Linked DNA regions of Rattus norvegicus. The protein of the gene in region 3 purifies or fractionates together with the protein of the main gene of each other region. This does not show direct contact. Links are inferred from orthologs where the notes say so. Each region holds a gene or a part of one and is shown on either strand. Other genes may lie near its edges.

What was found. The genes of interacting proteins can lie anywhere in the genome.
Region 1: the proteins of Med4 (region 3) and Ccdc138 purify together in Homo sapiens (affinity purification with mass spectrometry; 3 studies listed by BioGRID and IntAct, with this or other methods). This does not show direct contact. The link is inferred for Rattus norvegicus from reciprocal best matches to the Homo sapiens genes MED4 and CCDC138.
Region 2: the proteins of Med4 (region 3) and Ift20 purify together in Homo sapiens (affinity purification with mass spectrometry; 3 studies listed by BioGRID and IntAct, with this or other methods). This does not show direct contact. The link is inferred for Rattus norvegicus from reciprocal best matches to the Homo sapiens genes MED4 and IFT20.
Region 4: the proteins of Med4 (region 3) and Cdk8 purify together in Homo sapiens (affinity purification with mass spectrometry; 9 studies listed by BioGRID and IntAct, counting the BioPlex papers as one, with this or other methods). This does not show direct contact. The link is inferred for Rattus norvegicus from reciprocal best matches to the Homo sapiens genes MED4 and CDK8.

Annotation. Positions count from the first base shown.
Region 1 is NC_086038.1:27,112,657-27,116,935, reverse strand, and holds the end of Ccdc138 (coiled-coil domain-containing protein 138), read right to left. Parts: intron 4,071-4,279; exon of another isoform or gene 4,046-4,070; coding exon 3,907-4,045; intron 2,031-3,906; coding exon 1,865-2,030; 3' UTR 1,482-1,864; downstream 1-1,481.
Region 2 is NC_086028.1:63,933,233-63,937,653, reverse strand, and holds the end of Ift20 (intraflagellar transport protein 20 homolog), read right to left. Parts: intron 2,992-4,421; coding exon 2,906-2,991; intron 2,343-2,905; coding exon 2,239-2,342; coding exon of another isoform or gene 2,235-2,238; exon of another isoform or gene 1,876-2,234; coding exon 1,794-1,875; 3' UTR 1,482-1,793; downstream 1-1,481. Other genes in the region: Tmem97 (sigma intracellular receptor 2), read left to right, coding at 424-683. UniProt on the Homo sapiens protein: Part of intraflagellar transport (IFT) particles involved in ciliary process assembly. May play a role in the trafficking of ciliary membrane proteins from the Golgi complex to the cilium.
Region 3 is NC_086033.1:55,111,937-55,116,865, reverse strand, and holds the end of Med4 (mediator of RNA polymerase II transcription subunit 4), read right to left. Parts: intron 4,780-4,929; coding exon 4,722-4,779; intron 3,470-4,721; coding exon 3,383-3,469; intron 1,873-3,382; coding exon 1,741-1,872; intron 1,183-1,740; coding exon 1,010-1,182; 3' UTR 512-1,009; downstream 1-511. UniProt on the Homo sapiens protein: Component of the Mediator complex, a coactivator involved in the regulated transcription of nearly all RNA polymerase II-dependent genes.
Region 4 is NC_086030.1:13,886,012-13,890,940, forward strand, and holds part of Cdk8 (cyclin-dependent kinase 8), read right to left. Parts: intron 1,409-4,929; coding exon 1,298-1,408; intron 1-1,297.

The sequences.
Region 1 (4,279 bases), on a different chromosome or scaffold from region 3:
AACTTGGAAATTCTTCAGATTTTAAAAAACACTTATGTGTTTGATTGTTTTCTCTGCATGTATGCCTGTGCACCACACACGCATGCCTGGTGCCTGGAGAGGCCAGAAGAGGGCAGTGGATGCCCTGGGACTGCGATTATAGAGTGCTATGAACCACATGTAAGTGCTGGGAAATGAACCCAAGTCCTCTGGAAGAGTAACCAGTGTGCTCTTAACCACAGAGCCATCTCTCCAGCCCCACCGATTCAGATACTTTTATAAATAAGCATTACTTAATTTTAAGGTTTTGAGTTAATCACAATTTTAAGCTAATTGTTGGGGGACAGAGTTTATACCACATCATTATTCTCAATTCCCAGTCTGCCGTTTATACCACATCATTATCCTCAATTCCCAGTCTGCCGTTTGAAAATAAGGCTACACTCAGACCTCATCAGAGATGCTTCTTACTGCAATAGGAGGCAGTTAATGCAGGAACACACACTGGCCAGCGTGTGGAGGACCAGTGACGGAGTCCACCACATGGACAACTACACCGCTGGGAAAAACTCAGGGAGCCGTACAGAGGAGGTGAGGAAAGGCTCTACGCCCAGACAGATTAGACTGAGGACTTTTAGCTTCCAGGAGAATTCTAAGACGATGACGATGATGATAACTGATAATGATGATTCAATAATTAGTGGCATTGGAATTTTGGTGAGGATTACATTGAATCTGTAGATTGCCTCTAGTAAGACAGTCATCGTCACAACAATGAACGTTCTAATCCATGAGGAGGTCTTTCCATTCTGTTGTGCCTTCCTCCATTTTTTTCCTTCAGTATAGTCTTTCATTTCCTTGGTTAGGTGTATATTTTTCATGACAATTGTGAGATTCTATTCCTGATTTCTTCCTCAGAATGTTATTGGCATTCAGTACAGCCATGGCTTTTGTGTGCTGATTTTGTATCCTGCCACTTTGCTGAAAGTGTTTATCAGTCTAAGAGTTTTCTGATGGAATCTTTAGGTTCTCTTCTACATAAAATCATAGAATCTATAAATTAGGAAACTTTATTGTCTTCTTTTCTTATTTGTATTCTTTTTACTTATAGCTTATCCTAATGACCTGGCTGAGACTTCTAGTACTGTACTGAACAAGAATGGAGAACACACATCATGTTCCTAGTTTAACCCAATTTCATAAAGTATGCATCCAGTGTCATAAAACAATGTTGTATAAACCACATATACTCTTGGGCTCGAGTTATAGCTTAGCATAGTACCTGCCTAACAACCACAATGCAAATAAAGGTAAAAGAAAAAAAGAATGAACAAATACAAGGTAAGTACTTAAATGGTGTGGTGGCAGGCATGTTGGTTCCAGCACTTGGGGGCAGAGGTAGGAGGCGTGATTGACACACCCAGTCTGTCCCAGGACACCCAGTGCTACGTAAAACCCTATCTTTAAGAAAATATATTATCAAGAGAAGGGATTCTACTATATTAAGGGAAAAATGATAACAGTTTATTTCCACATAAGGACAAATTATATTCCAAATATTCACATAATTTCAAGAAAGACTTTTCCTAAATTTTTTTATAAAATATAACCCTGTTGCCTTGCATGCTGACCCTGATGCCTTGAATTCTGAAAAAGCCACCTTGTACATTAGTATTACCTTCAACTGAAACATTTAAAACATCCATACCTTTTGGGTCTCCTTTACAAAGCTGAAAAATCTTTCTAGGTATCTTTCATGATAAATGATGCTGGTGATAATTTTACTCTGTGGAATTGTACTTTGGTGATTTTTCCACTTTTACAAATAAAGAACACACACACACACACACACACACACACACACACACACACACACACACACACTCTAATGGCCTATACTGGAGACCAGGGAGTTACATTTTGTCAAACCCAGATTGAACAGAGTTGAATTGAGGTTAATACAGAGAAAGGCGTGCTCTGGATGTGTTGTCCTTTGTATTTCCTGAAGCATTAGGTGAATGGTGAAAACTTCAAAGAGTTTCTTGTTACTCCTGTAAAAGAATGGGCATATTACTTATTACTTATAAACTTGAGAGAATTATGCAAATGTGAGGAAATAGCACTTGCTTTTTAAAACAACGGAGAAAATGGCTGACTACAGGATTAAGAAGCTAAGAAAACTAGGTTTTATGAGCTAAGCCCAGAGTGGAAAAACATTAAAGGCAAAAAAAGAAAATAGTTTATATCCTAAAAACTGATCCAAATTCACTAACAGAATAAAACTGCTAGGAACAAGGAACCCCTGCTTCCCACAGTTAGACAGAGACTGACAGTTACCTTAAGGATCTAAAATGGCAAATATACTATTTTTCATTTTCTCTCTGACAGACATTCAAGCTTGGTGTCATTCTGAGCGCCTTTAATCCCAGCACTCTGAGGCAGAGGTAGGCAGATTGAGTTCCAGGACAGCCTGGTCTACACAGCAAGTTCTAGGGTAGTCAGGGGTACATAGACAGACTTTGTCTTACAAAACAACAGAATAGGAGAAGGAGGAACAAAGAAAGAAGAGGAGGAAAAGGAAGAGGAAGAAAAGAGGAGCAGAAAAAGAAAGAAGAAAAAGAGAAGGCATTCAGTAATTTCATTTTAATTAGAATACTATCCTAAATGTAAAACAGAACTCCACCATATTTTATTTTCTTATCTGAATGTATCTCAGAGAGAAATTATCAAATAGCTCCACATTAACGAAGGTAGAGACGGGTGGTTTCCCAGACTCATTGGTCATGTAGCCTAGCCAATCAGCAAGCTCCAGGCTCAGAGAGAGACCTGGTCTCAAAAAAGAAGAGGAAGACACTTCCTCAACCTTGAGTTTCCACATACACGCATACAGAGAGACAGACAGAGAGACAGAGACACAACAGACACACAGATATACACACACAGATATACAAACACACAGACACTGAGACATACACTCAGAGACATACACAGACACAGATACACAGAGACATACACACACACACACACACACACACACACACACACACACACATTCAGACACACAGACAGGCACCAATGCACGTTTACTATCACTTTGATTTTCTCATTTGACTCATATAAAATATCAGTATACAGTGATTTGTTCTGATGTTATCACTTGATTAATAACCTTGTTCTTATTAGAAGAGCCATGCAGTTAGTCCTGGGTTCCTAGTACCATAAAAACAAAAAGCAACCCCCAATATACAAATAATCTCCCTCTCAACCTTAAGAAAGCCGTTTTCTTGGTTTTGCATGCTGTCTGATATTTAAAGTTCATGAACTGAATCAACTGAGGAACAACAATATATATTCAAAGACTAATGTCCATTATTAAATCTGTGTCTCTAAAGTGTGTGTGTGTGTGTGTGTGTGTGTGTGTGTGTGTGTGTGTGTGTGTGTGTGTGTTGTTTGGTACAGGCATGTGCAGGTGAGTGTATGCATAAAGGACAAGGGAGGATGTCTGGTGTACTACTATCTACCACTTTCTGACTTGTTCCCTTGGAACAAGGTCTCTCACTGAACCTGGAGTTATGCTGTTGCACACCAAGGCCTGCTGATCCTCCTGTCTCTATCTCCTATCTATCTATCTCACAGTGCTGGGCTCAAAGGTACACATAGCCACACTTAGTCTTTTATGTGAGTCCTGGGGTTTAAACTCAGGTTCTTGGGCTTATAAAGTACCTACTCTTACCTGCTGAGCCTCTGCCCAGCCCCAAATATGTGGTCTTTGATTCTTAAATTTTTACATCTATAGACTGGAAATCATGATCACATTAGAATGAAGTAATAAGTAAAACCGGCTTGAGATTGAGACTGAAAAAGCAACCCCAATAATGATCACAATATAATTATCAATTAAGAATGTTACAAAAATGACTTCCTTACTTGATTTTGGAAAGCTTCTGTAGGATAATGCTGAGCTTTTCTAGGATGTGAAGATCAAGTTTAGGGGTTCGCAGCAGCACAGAACAAGTACGAAAAAACAGAGAGTTGCTACAGGCTTCCAGGAAAGGCTGCAGGGACTCTGCAAAACAAGTCACCATGCTTTACTGTGTGAAAAGGAATACAAAAAGGAAATTATAAAAGCAAAATCAGACTCATGTGAGTCATGCATCAACACTGCCTTGGACTGTCATGCTTTCATCCTTAAACTTTGGGACAAAATTATCATTTGAAAAGCAAAAACAAACTCTCGTTGGGCGTCACACGGAGCAGGTTATTATCTAATACAAAGCGTGCTTGAAAGGAAAGGAGAACA
Region 2 (4,421 bases), on a different chromosome or scaffold from region 3:
AATGTATGCCTACTTGTCATCATATGATTAGTGACTTTATGAAGTAGCTGTGCCTGTCCTTGGAAACTAAGCTTATAGAATGGAAAAGCTTTTATCTCCCTGGGATCCTACCTGTGAATCACTTTATGGGTAGCGGGCAGACTGTGACCAGACTGGCTGATGTTTGCTGCCTCTGTTTACTGAGCTTGATGCCAACCCTTACCCTCTCTGAACTGGGTGGGTCCTAGCTGTCATGCAAGCTTACCTGTTGAGCAGTGCAGCACCTGGTTTTCATGTGCATAGTCTGAGTTTCCACAAAGGAGGCAGAACCATTGAACTGAGAGGAGCAGACAAGCAGGGATGATGAGGCAGAGCATATCCCAGACACCCTTGAAGTCGCCACACCTCTCAGCCTAATTACCCTGTTCTCTTCCTCTGCTTCAGGAAGCTGCCGATGGATCCGAATCCCTGCAATCATCTATGCGGTTCACACCATAACAACTTTAATTCCAATCCTCTATACGATTCTCTTTGAGGATTTCTCTAAAGCCATTGCTTTCAAGGGACAAAGACCTGAGAATTTCCGTGAACGACTGACCCTCGTAGGTGTCTATGCCCCCTATTTAATAATCCCCCTTATACTCCTCCTGTTCATGCTTCGGAACCCTTACTACAAGTTTGAGGAGAAAAGAAAGAAAAAATAAGGGACAGCCACTAGCCTGGTAGGAAAGGAAGATCCCACAGCACAGTTGCCTTTTGAACAACACAAGTTGCTGCAGCATTTGAAACACCAACAGCAGTGCATACGAACAAGATAGTGGCAAGGGCCATGCCAAGCCTTCACCTTCCAAGGGCTAAATAGGCCACCAAGTGACAGCAAAATGGTGCCAAAGCTCTACTACAGCACTGCTAAGAACCGACAGCTGAGAAGCCGGATAGCTTCTGACCTAGAGTGCACACACCTAAGTCCTCAACTGGACCTTGATAGCCAACAAATGGGAGCAGTGTCTTGTCTCTTTAGCACCTTTAACATGGTCTCCGGCCCACATGAGTCCAAGCCAGAAATGGGTCACAGTGGAAGGAAGGCACCTCCATTTCTATCTTGAACAGATCACCTGGTCTCTGAGTTATTCTGGCGCTAACTCCATGAACCGCTCTTCCACACGTCTGTCCCTACTCTGGCATCTTGCACCACTGGGCTCCACAGTACATCCATTTGTCCTTCCCATGTGTGAGGGTAACTGACTGTCCAGTGAGTGTCGCTGTTTGTTCCACTGGCTCTCCTTACAGAAACAAAGAGCAGCGGGTGCGAGGCAGTGCTGGTTTTGCTCACAAGCCATATTGCTGTGGTTATTACTGTCTGACTTGTGTGTCCAGTCCAAATAAAGGTAGCTGCTGATCACTGCCTGGTTTGTTGTGTGGATTGGGGGTGGAGTGGGGTGGGGGAAGTTGTAGAACAGCTCAGAGGGGCTGGAAATACATGCACACAGCACCACAGAAGAAAGTATTTATTTGGTATTTATTGCTTTTCCTTGTGAATTTAACTACCTCTCCCAAAAAAGTGGATCAGCATTTACAGACACTTAGTTTGTGCTGAGAAGAGTAAGGCCCTGTGCTGCTTGGCCACTAGCAGTGGCTGCACAGTTTACCAGCTGCCCCTGGAGCACTGCCGTGACATACATCAAATCACTGGAATGGTAGAGGTTTGGTCTTTGTTTTTTGGTTGAGGTGCTTTTTTTCTTTCTTTTTTTTCTTTTCTTTTTTTTTTTTTTTTTTTTTTTTTGCCTTCCTGCTATAAAACTGAAATTTTCAGTTCATTTCTGAAAAATAAATTGGTCAATAAATTCATTTTGTTCTGCTTCTACTTTACACAAAGCTTCATATTCAACCCGATACCTGAAAAACAAAATTGTTAGAAGCCCTGAAAAGAATGAAAAACACAATTTTTTGAGAGTATAGAGCTTTAAACAGCTGTAAGAAACCATGAGTTGAGAATGAAGGCAGGGCAAGAGTCAAACAGCCCTATTTAAGACCACCTGCAAAACCTCTAGCCCTAGGGGAAGGCATGGGAGGTGGCCTCAGGCCTAGTTCTAAGAACCAGTGCTCACACTACGGGAGGCCATTTGGAATTAACCAAGTCCCCACACTATCAAATTTTAAAGTCTTAACACCCAGTGAAATGCTCTACACAGAAAGATGGTGAGGAAAGCCAAGGTGGCAGAGAAGGAAAAAGAGTCTGAGGTGATCATGGCCGCTTACCTTTCTAGCTGCATCTTCTTTTCTGCTATCAGTGCCTGCAGTTGCTGTTGCTGGGCTTCTCTCTGCTTCGCTATGGATTTCAGCAAGTTTCGAGCACCAATGGCCTAAGAAACATTACCGAAGAAGGCATGGTTTTAAACTCACCTATTAACCTACTGATCCCAACATACCTGGTACTAAATGGCACAAGTAGTCAGGTCTGTAAGTGTATGCAGTGGCCTACTGGGAGGCATCATTTAGTCTTGGGCCTTTTACCAAGGCATCTCTCCCAGGTAATCCTCCGCGTCTTCATTTTTAAAAGAAGTGGTACCATGACGATCAAAGGGAGCAATGACAAGCATGTACTGGTGGGCTGGAGAGAGGGCTCACTCATTAAAAGCAGTATCTGTACTTCCAGAGGACCTCGGTTCAATTCCCAACACTCACATGGCAGCTCACAATTTCTAATTCTAGTTTCAGAGGATCTAACACCTGGCCTCTAGATGCTGATGCACACAGGTATGTGCACACACAAACATTCACACTGAAAGTCTTTAAAAAATACTGGCGTATAAGCTCACCACACCGACCTGGCCAGCATCTCTTATTAAATGCCTGTTTTAACTAGATGAGTCCACCGACCCTACAATGCGCAGGGTTTCTGGTCAGGGCCAACTGCTGATCTCACCTTCATTTTCTCGTTCTCTGCTTCTTTGGCAAGCTGATCAACAAGCTCAATCAGACCACCAACGATTTTCTGAAACTGGCCAATTTCTTTGAGGAAAAGAACAAACCACTCTTGTTAGCACCCTTGGAAGTAGGGAGGTGGAGCTAACTGCCCTTCTAAATCGTGTCCCAGCCGTCTGACACCCACTAGCCTAAGTCTCCCACCACCCGGTCTATGGCAGGATGGGTGCTAGGGCTAGACTTTGAACATAGGCTGCAGTGTGGACCCAACCCTCCCTTTCTCAGAAAGGACTCTCGGAACACAAGTGCAGACTCTAGACTCAACACCAAGTTTCAGTAAAAGGTGGTGTGAGAGTTCCTGCCTGTAACCATGTCATTTAGTTGCCCCATTTCCCACTTGCTTTTCCAATGCTCTTGGCATGCTAGACCTGTTTTATTTTATGCAAATAAGTCCAGAGAAGGCCACAGTATGCAGCAACTACTAAACTGGGAACAGACATTAAGCAACCTGTGGTGAAAACATGGCCCAGAAATCTCTTACTTCAGCTGAGTATATGACACTGACCTGGAACCCCAGCATTAGGAAGGCTAAGTTAGGAGAATCATGAGTTTGAGCCCAACCTACAACATACATAGTGAGGCTTTGTCTTGAAAAAAGGAAAGAAATTCCCTTACTGTAGCTAAATCTGGCTATTCCCACTGGTACTGGGCTGGCTTAGCAGCTAGGAAAGGTGGCTTCTTGGAGATCAGTAACCCAGAGATCAGCACTGTGCTGAGCTGCTCCTATAGGACTTCAGTCCCCATCTCTAACTCACATAAAAATAACATCACAGTATATATAATTTCACCTCCCACCTCCAAGTCATAATTCATTAACATGAATTTTTTTTTTTTGGTTCTTTTTTTCAGAGCTGGGAACCGAACCCAGGGCCTTGCGCTTCCTAGGCAAGCGCTCTACCACTGAGCTAAATCCCCAACCCCCTAACATGAATTTTTTAAAAGATATATTTATTTTATATATGTGAGTACATGGTCTCTGTCTTCACACACACCAGAAAAGGGCATCAGATCCCATTATAGATGGTTATGAGCCACCATGTGGTTGCTGGGAATTGAACTCAGGACCTCTGAAAGAGCAGTTAGTGCTTAACCACTGAGCCATCTCTCCAGCCCCTTGAACATGAATTTTAAGGTTGCTAAAAGAAAGAAAAAAAATCACAGCACATCTAAAAACACATACCCCCAACCCCTGTCTAAAACAGTTGCTTGGCATCAAATGTGGGACTCCATGGCAGTCTAAGAGGGCAAGCAGAGAAGGTTGGGTACACTTGGGAATCCAGAGACCAGGCTCAATTCAGGGAGCAATCAACTTCGTTCTGGCAGACCCAAGAGCAATAGTCAAGGTCAGATAATGAAACTGCTCAAGGGCTGGAGAGATGGCTCAGTGGTTAAGAGCACTGACTGCTCTTCCAGAGGTCCTGAGTTCAAATCCCAGCAACCACATGGTGGCTCACAAC
Region 3 (4,929 bases):
CCAGACTAGCCTAGGCACCTTATATAAACAAGGAGACACAGTCCCGTAAAAAGAAAAAAGTCACAAGGAGACAAGGTGATGGCATGAGATGGTGGCCTTCTAAAGCCTTCCATAAAATTTACCTGATGTTCATGTGTGTCTGTGTGGTATGGGAATATAATAAATGTTTTCAATTATTAATGATCTCAGAAACTTAATTGTGAATACCAGTTAAGATAGTCATTTTATGGTATATGTTCTCATATATACCAGAATCTTATTTGAACATTATAAAATAATCTGGATTTTTTTTTCTAGACAGGGTTTCTCTGTACTCCTGAAACTCTTCTCACTCTGTAGACAAAGTTGGCCCCAAACTCAGATCTGCCTGCCTCTGTCTCCTGAGTGCTGGATTAAAGACATGTGCCACCACTGCCCAGCTTAAATTCAACTGGATTTAAATGTTTCATTCCTACCCTGAAGGTGTACCTAAATTTAAAATATCTATTTTTTAAAAATTGAAATAATTAAATACAAACAAAACCAAGTTTATTTACACAAATTACAGTATTTACCACATATAAATATTGACAGTTGTCACTGTAACAGCAGACAACTTCACTTTCAAGTGAGCACTTTTTGAAATATCACAGAGCTCCATGCCTCTGTTCTTGTTCTGCTACCCTGATGGCTCAGTTTATTACATAGCTCAAGGCGGCCCGACACTCCCAGCAATCCTTCAGCCTCCCAGGCGCTGGGACTAAGGCAGGAGCCTGGCTCAGTGCCCTTGGTAAGTACTCTCCATGAGTTGTGCAGTTCTCCTTCAGTCTCATCCCATAGCTGCTATGTACAAACCAAGCACAACAGTAATTGTGACAAACCCTCAAACACGTGTGTAACAGATGAGAACCAGCAGTTCTGGCTACAGGAAGAAAGACCACTGACTTTCCTGGGCTCCTTAGAGGTCTGTGCTTTCCATTTCCCACTTGACAGAACTCTGTGGCAGTGGAGTCTGCATGCCACCCCTTTCTCAGTCAGAGTCACTGCTGCTGCTTGAGGAATCTGTTGACATAACCTCAACGTCATCTTCATTTTCTTTGTTGTGCCCGGGAGGCTCCAACAGAAAGTCAGTGCTATGATTTGGCGGCAGCATGTTCACAGACATGTCATTTGACTGCCATGGGTACTGTGGAGCAAGGACATCTGAGGAGAAGAAGCATAAGGGATTGGTTCTACTTGTGATCCATCTACTCGATCCCCGCCCTCTATGCAAGAATCTTAATCTTATCTACCTACCCACTTACCTTACAGTACCAAGATCTAACAAGAAGGATTCGCAATACTAAACACAAATGAGCAGATTCCCAAACCCACATGTTAACACAGAAGTGATAGCTTCAGAAAGCACAGTCCCCCACTTATGTCCTCTCCTTAGAAAGATTCTCTCACATTAAACATGGCACCTACAAAATGAGCTTATTCTATTTGTGAGCATGCCTCAGAACTGCAAAAATGCTCTTCAGAGTGGTCACGATAAGGGAAGGCCAGGCCTGGGGAGGGTGATAGGAGATAGATGCACGTGAGGGACAGAGTGGCTTAGGTCAGTGACCTATGCACCACTGCTGGGTCTTTGGATGAAGCACAGAACAATAAACTGGTAGGGAATCTATGTAACAATATTGGTGCCCAATGCTAGACACTGCCTCACGGCCACCTCTGAATAACCCTGTCGCTTGAAAACGCCTATCCAGTTAGCATTACCTGGCAGTCTACCTGCTGCAAGGGCATCTCCCGGGAGGTGACCATTCACACCACTGGTAGAAGGATTGTTCATCTGACCCAGCAATCCACTTCTCATCTCTAAATCAGTTGGGTATGGCCGTCGAGGGTCTCCTAAAACAATAAAGACAGCTTTTAACTCAGGTTTAAAATCATGTATATATTCTTGAAGAATTAGCTGTCCTTGTTCACACTAAAGGACCGGAGCGCTTGTAAGACAGGTCTCAGCAGGTAGTCATGCTAGCCTCAAGGCTGCAGGCCTGCCCCGGCCTCTTCACAGCTGCCTACGCTATGTGCTACCACACCTTGCCTGAGGTTACCATTACTATTCTCAAGCTGGGTACGGCGGCACACAACTTTAGTCCCAGGTCTCAGGAGGCAGAGCGAGGCAGGACTCTGACTTGACCTGGTCTACAAAGTGAGTTCCAGGACGGGGAGGGCTACACAGAGAAACTGTCTCTCAATGAATAAAAGAAAGGGGGCTGGAGGAGAAAGAGACTATATTATATTAATTTTTTAAAATCATTTATTTTTCTTTTATGTGCATTGGTGTTTTGCCTCATGCATGTCTGTGTGAGGGTGTCAGAAGTCCGGGGGAACTGGAGTTACAGACAAGTGAACTGCCATGTGTGAACTTGGGATTGAACCAGGTTCTCTGCAAGAGCAGCTAGTGCTCTTTATGACTGAGCCATCTCTCTAGCTCCCAATATTAATTTTCAAAATGCACACATTTTTGTTTCTTCTCTGAATCCTCCCAGGAATATACATTCTATGTTTTGTAAAAAACATGGGGGTGGTAAAAAAAGTAGGGGTGGTGGGCACATCGCCTATAATCACACCCGTAGCCCAGCATTTGGAAGTAGAAATAGGACTGCACAGAGGCAACTCAAGGTGGAGGTGGGACAGCTCAAGGTCACCTTCAAATACATAAGATAGAACCAGACTAGGAGACATAAACCTGTCACAAAGAAACATACACAGACTAGTTTCTACACCTCTCCAGTTTTATCACAAGAACCTACTGTCATTCCCATCAAAGAGGGACACTGAATAGCAGTTTGGGATGGCACCCACACCCAAATTTGGTAATATTTCTCACCAGGAATTACCCATCCTCAGACTGCAGCCACCGTCATTGTGTTCAGCAACAACAAACACCGGTCAGGAGTGAGCAGAGCCCAGTTGGCTCTCTCCATCCTCCACGGAGGCCGCTGCTCCAGCTCTGGTTTCCCATCTCCTACTTGATCTGCAGTGCTGGGACTGCACTGTATTATCTTTGCTGTCCCTAATGCTCCCGCTCTTCCCGGCTGGTGAACTGCGCTGGGTGTTTGTTCTGTGACTGCCTCTCAGGCTGAGGCTTTGCAGGAATATAATGGCACTGAAGGACTGGCTCTGGCCAGCCTGGGTGTTACAAGTATATGAACCTATTGCTTTGAAAGTGTCCCAGATTGACCTATTAGCACTAAAAGTAAAATGGAAAAAACACTTCCCATCACTGCTTGGTAAAAACAATGTAACAGGAATTAGTTACAGTATCCTTCTGTGTTCTACACAGGCACTTAGAATGCTACAGATGCACCTCAGGACGCTTAACCTGCATTCATCTGAAAAGAAGCACTGTTACCTGGAACCCAAGTCAGTGGAGCACATACAGCATTGCTGGCACTGATCCTGTGTGCGTACTTAATGATTTCTTCAGAGGAGATAGCGCCTGAGTTGAGAAAACAGAACAGGACAGACCATTAAACACAAGCTTAGAAGAGCACACGTCACAGTCACACACCACACTTAACTATCAGGCTCATCTCAGCCATCTATCCTCCCAAACACCTTCATGTACACCAAAACTGTTACACATATATGTCTAACTAAAGAACCAAGGCACCCACTCGGCGAGGTCAGCTACCATAAATCTAAGGCCAGCATGATAATGCTCAGTAATCTCCATTACTGGCCGACGGCAAATGCAGAGCTCTTCTGAATGTCACAGTGAGGAACAGTAAACCAAGGGGAGAGCTTTTCGTTCCAGCAACATCCAAGCGGCTAACCAAACAGTCCACATCCTCTGTGACCACAAAGGAAGAGGCTCTACATGGACTGTGCACCAAACAGAAACAGCAGTTACCTCTGAGGAATGGGAAGATTTGTACTCTATGAACTCTAGACCTGTTTCAAAAAGCACTATGGATTCCTACCCAGTCCTGATTGATGGACTCAGCCACCTCTCCTACAGGCTTGCCTCTGCTACAGAAGCCCACCCGTCTCTCTGAGAATATTAGCCGTTTTCTTGGGTATAACAATGAGAAACAGATTCCATACCGGCAAGCAGAACAAGTCAGATAGAGAAATGGTTAACTGTAACCCAAATCCACAGAGCATTAAAGCGACAGCAGAGACTTCACTCTCGGTCTCCTGACTAGAAAGTGTAAGGCCTAAAGGCCGAGCGGCAGGCACGTGTACAGCTGATGCTGACTCCAGTGTTCCCTTCTCAGGTAGTTGTGTGGATTCCGTCATTATCTCTGCCTACAAGATCCAAGCTCACTCCTGCTCCTCTGTCTTTCCAGTCTGTAAACCACTGTCGTCACTACACATGTGAATGAAAAGCACGAATCCCTTCTATTATTCTATACTGAACTACAGGAGGGCTGCGAGGTACGGCTACCCTCTTCAGGATGCCAACTACACAAACACAGTACACGCTACAGTGGATAACTCCTGGGCACCCTTTCAACAGCCTGACCGTAGTAGTTTTATCAACTCATGTTTTATTTTCATGTGCATGCAGGTGAGAATGTGTGCATGTGTATGTGAAAGCATGTGAGGGTAGGCACATACACAGCTCTATGTGGGTTCTAGAGATCACATGAACAAGCTTTTTAGCCACTGCACATCTCCCCAGTCCTCATCAGCATCCTAAGACACAGGCTTGTATCTCAGTCAGGCAGCCTTCCCATGGTACCAACCTTTTCTTGCTTTCTCTATTGACTTGAGTTTCTCCTTTGCCTGGTAAACAGCTGTTGCCTAATTTGAACAAATTGAAAATACAAATTATTCTTAACTATATCAAGCATAGTGTTTAGATACACAAAGTTACCTACAGAAACATTATACAAGAATTGGAAATCCCTGAAATTTATCGGTCACCTGAAGCCCCACTTAATATCATTTATA
Region 4 (4,929 bases), on a different chromosome or scaffold from region 3:
AGAATTATAAATTACTTATTATACATATATGCTACATAGTTTATACGTAGAATTAAATATTATCCCCAAGCCTACTGGAAGCCATACTGAATGTAACAGAGAGCTCTATGTCCTGCTGTCCTATCCTGTACAGTGTGTGACCCACTGAGTTCAATTAAGGTTAGCTGCATGGACGTAGGAGATAGGGAGGCAGATGGTTTTACTTTGTCTGTGTAAGGCAAAATGCATTTACGTTCTTATCAATACAGTATGAGCCTTTCACAATACTGGCTAAACCAGTAAACTGTGAGTCCTCCTTGGAGAAATCTTCGAATATACCATTTGGATCTGTCTGTATAAATGTTGTAAGCCAGACAAGCCTAAAACCAAGCCCACAAGAGACACTGCCATCTACTTCTGTGCTGATCTCACTTTGTAGTGTGGCTCTCATTGCAGTGACTGTCTTTTCCTATGCAAAAGGATGGCAAGTCAGACAGTAAGACATCATTGCCAATGAAGATGGGATGTATTACATTAAATATCAGGTGTGAATAACCAGGGAGTGATCAATAAGCTTCCCATGCTTAGCTACTCAACTCGTAACCCCTTCAGAACTGTTAGGAGACCTTCCTGCATCACAGAACAAGGCAGGGACAGTAATTGGACCCGGCTATGCTTTTATAGCACGCTCACCCAGAAGTACTATTTCATTTTAAATTCCTTAACACTACAGAGTAAAGGAAAGGATGTAAGGTCGCCTTTCCAAATGAAAACTCTATCAGGAAGCAATGCTTTCCCGCCACTGTTCATAGTCCTCTTACTTCTTTCCCATCGGTTACAAAGGTCAAAACACCAGGATCAAAAGAAATACTGGAGACTCTCTCTAGCCTGAAAACCCAAAATGCTTCAAATTTCAGAACTTTTTGAAAGCTAACATGATTCCACAGAGTGAAACTTTGTTTCACATACAAGATTATTATAAACGATGCATGAAATTTCCTTCAGGCTATATGTATAAGGTAAATATGAAATTAAAACACAAGTGAGCTTCAAGTTTAGACATGATGTCAGTCTCCAAGAGGTCTTATTAAATAGGTGCAAGTAAGTGCCCTCTTATCTGAAACATCAAAACTCTGAGACACTTCTGCTGTCTAGCATTGTGGTAAGGGAGCTCAACCCACTGAACAAAGCAAAAGCCTCCAGGCTGGGAATACATCGACTGTTACTCTGTAAAGTGATTTCTAGTGCAGTGGAAGCTGTTTAGTCACTCTCAAGCCTAACTGAAAACAATGGCCTGTCTACCAGCAGTCCACCTTACCCAGAGGTCATGTTCAGCATAGTCAAAGAGAAGCCATACTTTCCGATCAGCATGAGACAGAAACACCTTCTGAAGAGAGATGACGTTTGGGTGCTTAAGCTCTCGAAGTAACTACAAAACAAAGGAGATCCATTCAAAATTTAACACAAAATAATACTACACACACACACACACACACACACACACACACACACACACACACACAAATTAGGTGTGGTAGTGCATACATGTACACAAGGATATAATATGTCTGCTACCGCCGTGGCAGCCATTTCTACCTGGCTGCTAGGAAGTGAACAAAGGTCTCAGATTATGAATGCTCAAGCAGAAAGATTACTTGATATCAGGAATCCACAGTTAGCTTGGGCAACAAAGCCGGGCTCCATCCCAGACACTACCCAGCCACCCACCCACCCAGACCAGCTGCAACGTAAAAGCAATGCAAGTCAATGCTCACTGATACTAAGCATTCAATCAGCACCCACTCAGTATGACTGCTACACAGGTGCTTCATGACAGAAGAAGACACTGAAAAGAGGGTAACAGTAAATCTGTCATTTGCTGCTTGACTTGGTTTTAACTTTTTAACCAAGATTACAGTTTTAGCCACTTTAAAATCTACAAATGGGTGGCATTAAATATAAGTGTTGTAGAACCATCACTACTATTTACACATTTTTAAACATTCCAAGTAGAAAATGCTACCACTGATCCAGGTCTAGGTAAACTCTACTACCTGTCCCTAAGAGTTCCTGTGGTAGACACCTAGCCATGGTGGGTTCTCATAACACCTCATCTTCCTCATGTGCGCAGGCACGGACCTGTAACCCCCAGTGGGAGGAAGGAGAGCTCTGGCTCACTCCTGCGGTGCCCATGTGACTGGTTGATTTTATGTGTGCATGTGTATCTGCTACTTGTGGAGCTAGAGAAATAAATCACCGGATGTGGGTTCTGGTGATCAAACTCAGGTCCTCTAGAAGAGCGGCGAGGGCTTTACCACTGAGCCGTCTCCCCAGCCCACCTCTCCCTCCCTCCCTCCCTCCCTGAGACAGGAGCTCTCAGTGGCCTGAAATTTACCACTGAGGCCGGGCTGGCTGTTGCCCCAGGAATCTGTGCTCCTACCTCCTCCTCTGAACTGGGATTGTAAGCGCCAGCAGGTACAGCCATGCCTAGCTTTTCTGTAGGTTCTAGGGGTCAAACAGGACCTTGAAAGCTGTTTATCCACCCAGCATCACTCATCCTTTCACATCTAGTTCATTCACTCAGTGCTATCTTCAAGGTCCACCCATGTTGTAGCATGTAGCAGGGGTTTTGGTTTTGATTTTTCCTTTTTTATAGGTAAGAGCATTCATCCCATTATATGGAGACACTCCTCACTGTACTGTACTCTGATAAAGCCATCAAAATGCACCGACACGGGGTTGGGGATTTAGCTCAGTGGTAGAGCGCTTGCCTAGCAAGCGTAAGGCCCTGGGTTCGGTCCCCAGCTCCGGGGGAAAAAAAAAAAAAGGAAGACCGACACGACAGCGCACATGTGTACTGAGGAGCGGTCAGTGGAGACAGGTGGGTCCCGGGAACTAAACTGGCCTTTAATAGAATTTTTTTTTCATTTTTTAAAGAACTGGTTAATCTTCACAAAACAAAAGGTATAGCCATACCAACTTTATTCACAGAAACCACTTGCTTTTCCAATTTTACCAGTGGGGGAAAATTTTTAAATGTTTTGAATATATATCTACTTCAAATTTATTATTCACTGTGAACCTGATTTACCACAATGGGCATACTTAACTTAAACTTGTACAAAAAATATTTAAAAGCACACCACGACAATATATGCCACTCAGAAATGAGGAAAAAGTAGGTAGGAAAACTAGTTATATTTTCAAAACAGCAGTGTTTCTTAAAGAGTTCTAAGTTTGTGGAGTACATGTGGAGTGCATGTGTGTGTGCAGGCCAGAAGACAACCTCTGGGGTCATCCTCAGGTCTGCTACCCACCTCACCTCCTTCTGAGACAAGGTCTCTCATGGGCTAGAAGCTCACCAGTGCAAGGCTGGACAGCGGGAGGACACAGGGAGCCTCCTGTCTTACTCCCTGAGCACTGGGATGACAAGCCTGCCCCGCCACAGCACTGGCAGTCATTTCTACTTGAATCCCGAGAGCTCGACAGGTCTCAGTGACCGGGAGGCAAGTATGTTACCAACTACCGTCTCCACCTCTGACACCATTCCAACATTAACAACTCCTAATGCAAAAACAGGTTCTGAATGTAGACCTCGAGTACGGTGATAGATAAACCGAACCTGAATTATGACAAATCTATTTCCAAAAGACAATTACACTGTAGACTCTTTCTTTAACTTCGATCTTCCCAAACTCTTAGAAAAAGATGGAAACAGATGCTGAGGTTGGAGAAGTGTGTTGGGAAAGCAGACTAACCATGGGCCTGCACCATCTATCAGACACTCTCTGGGATACTGGGGGCCAGCTGATTTCTGCACAGTTGGCCAGAACCCTGAACTAAAGGGATTCCAGTCCACAGGAAACTTTGGTGAGGAATGTGACAAACAGCAAAATGGAAGTGTTGTGAGGACACCTCCCCTGGAAGGTTCTCTCCTCCTTCCTGAAGAATGGCTGCACAAAATCTAAGCCATGCTGCTGTGTGTCACAGTCTAGCCTGCATAGGGGTGGCAACAGATCACAACGAACAACGGGAATCCTAAGATTTTTATTTGTAATAGATATGAAAAAACTGAATGAGTGTGAGCATGTTAGTAAGAGGAGGTGTCAGGGCAAACAAAGATGGACTTGGTTTCCTCCCTTGCCTTTTATTACACGGTCTCCCTGAGTTAAGCCTGTCACTTACAGTCACTGTATGTACATTCAAGTTCATTCCTCTCTCCACCAGATAGTATATATACCATTTCATCAGCATCTCGGTACGTACCTCAAAAGCAATCTTTTCTCAACACAATGAAAATCAATAACAACCAGCAATGATAACGTATCCAGAAAAGCCTCCTTGTACATTTATAAAGTAAGCAACTGATTTCTAAGTAACTAATGGATACAAAGAAAGAAAAAAAGAAAACTGAAAATATTCTGTACTATAATAAAACAATAAAACATCACAAAACGTGTGGCATGAAAGTAAAACACAGGTTGGAGGGAATTATAATTTTAAATATTTATAGTAGGAAAGAAGAGTTTACAAGCCAATAAACCACTTAGCAAAATGGAGAAGCACAAGCCCAAAATAGAAGAAAAGAGGTAAGAGGAGTGGAGGAAACAAACGCTCATGAATCAACAGCAACAGACAGGAAAGAAAAATGAACAAACACGGTGATAATCAAGCAGAATCTCAGTTTTTAACTGGCATACATAAAGACACTAATTCCAGCCATACAGAACTGTTAACTTTATATAATAACTGATATTCATTAACCAGAATGAAATGACAACAGGAACTCTAAGAATCAGTGATAGCACAAATAAATAAATGTATACTCTGCAAGAACTTCAAGTCTCCTTTTTCTAAAAATGCACTTTCTGGAAATACCTAAAACGAAAAAATATTTATCGGTTTTCAATTCATTTGATGGCAAATACAGCAGAGACCTACACAGTTGAC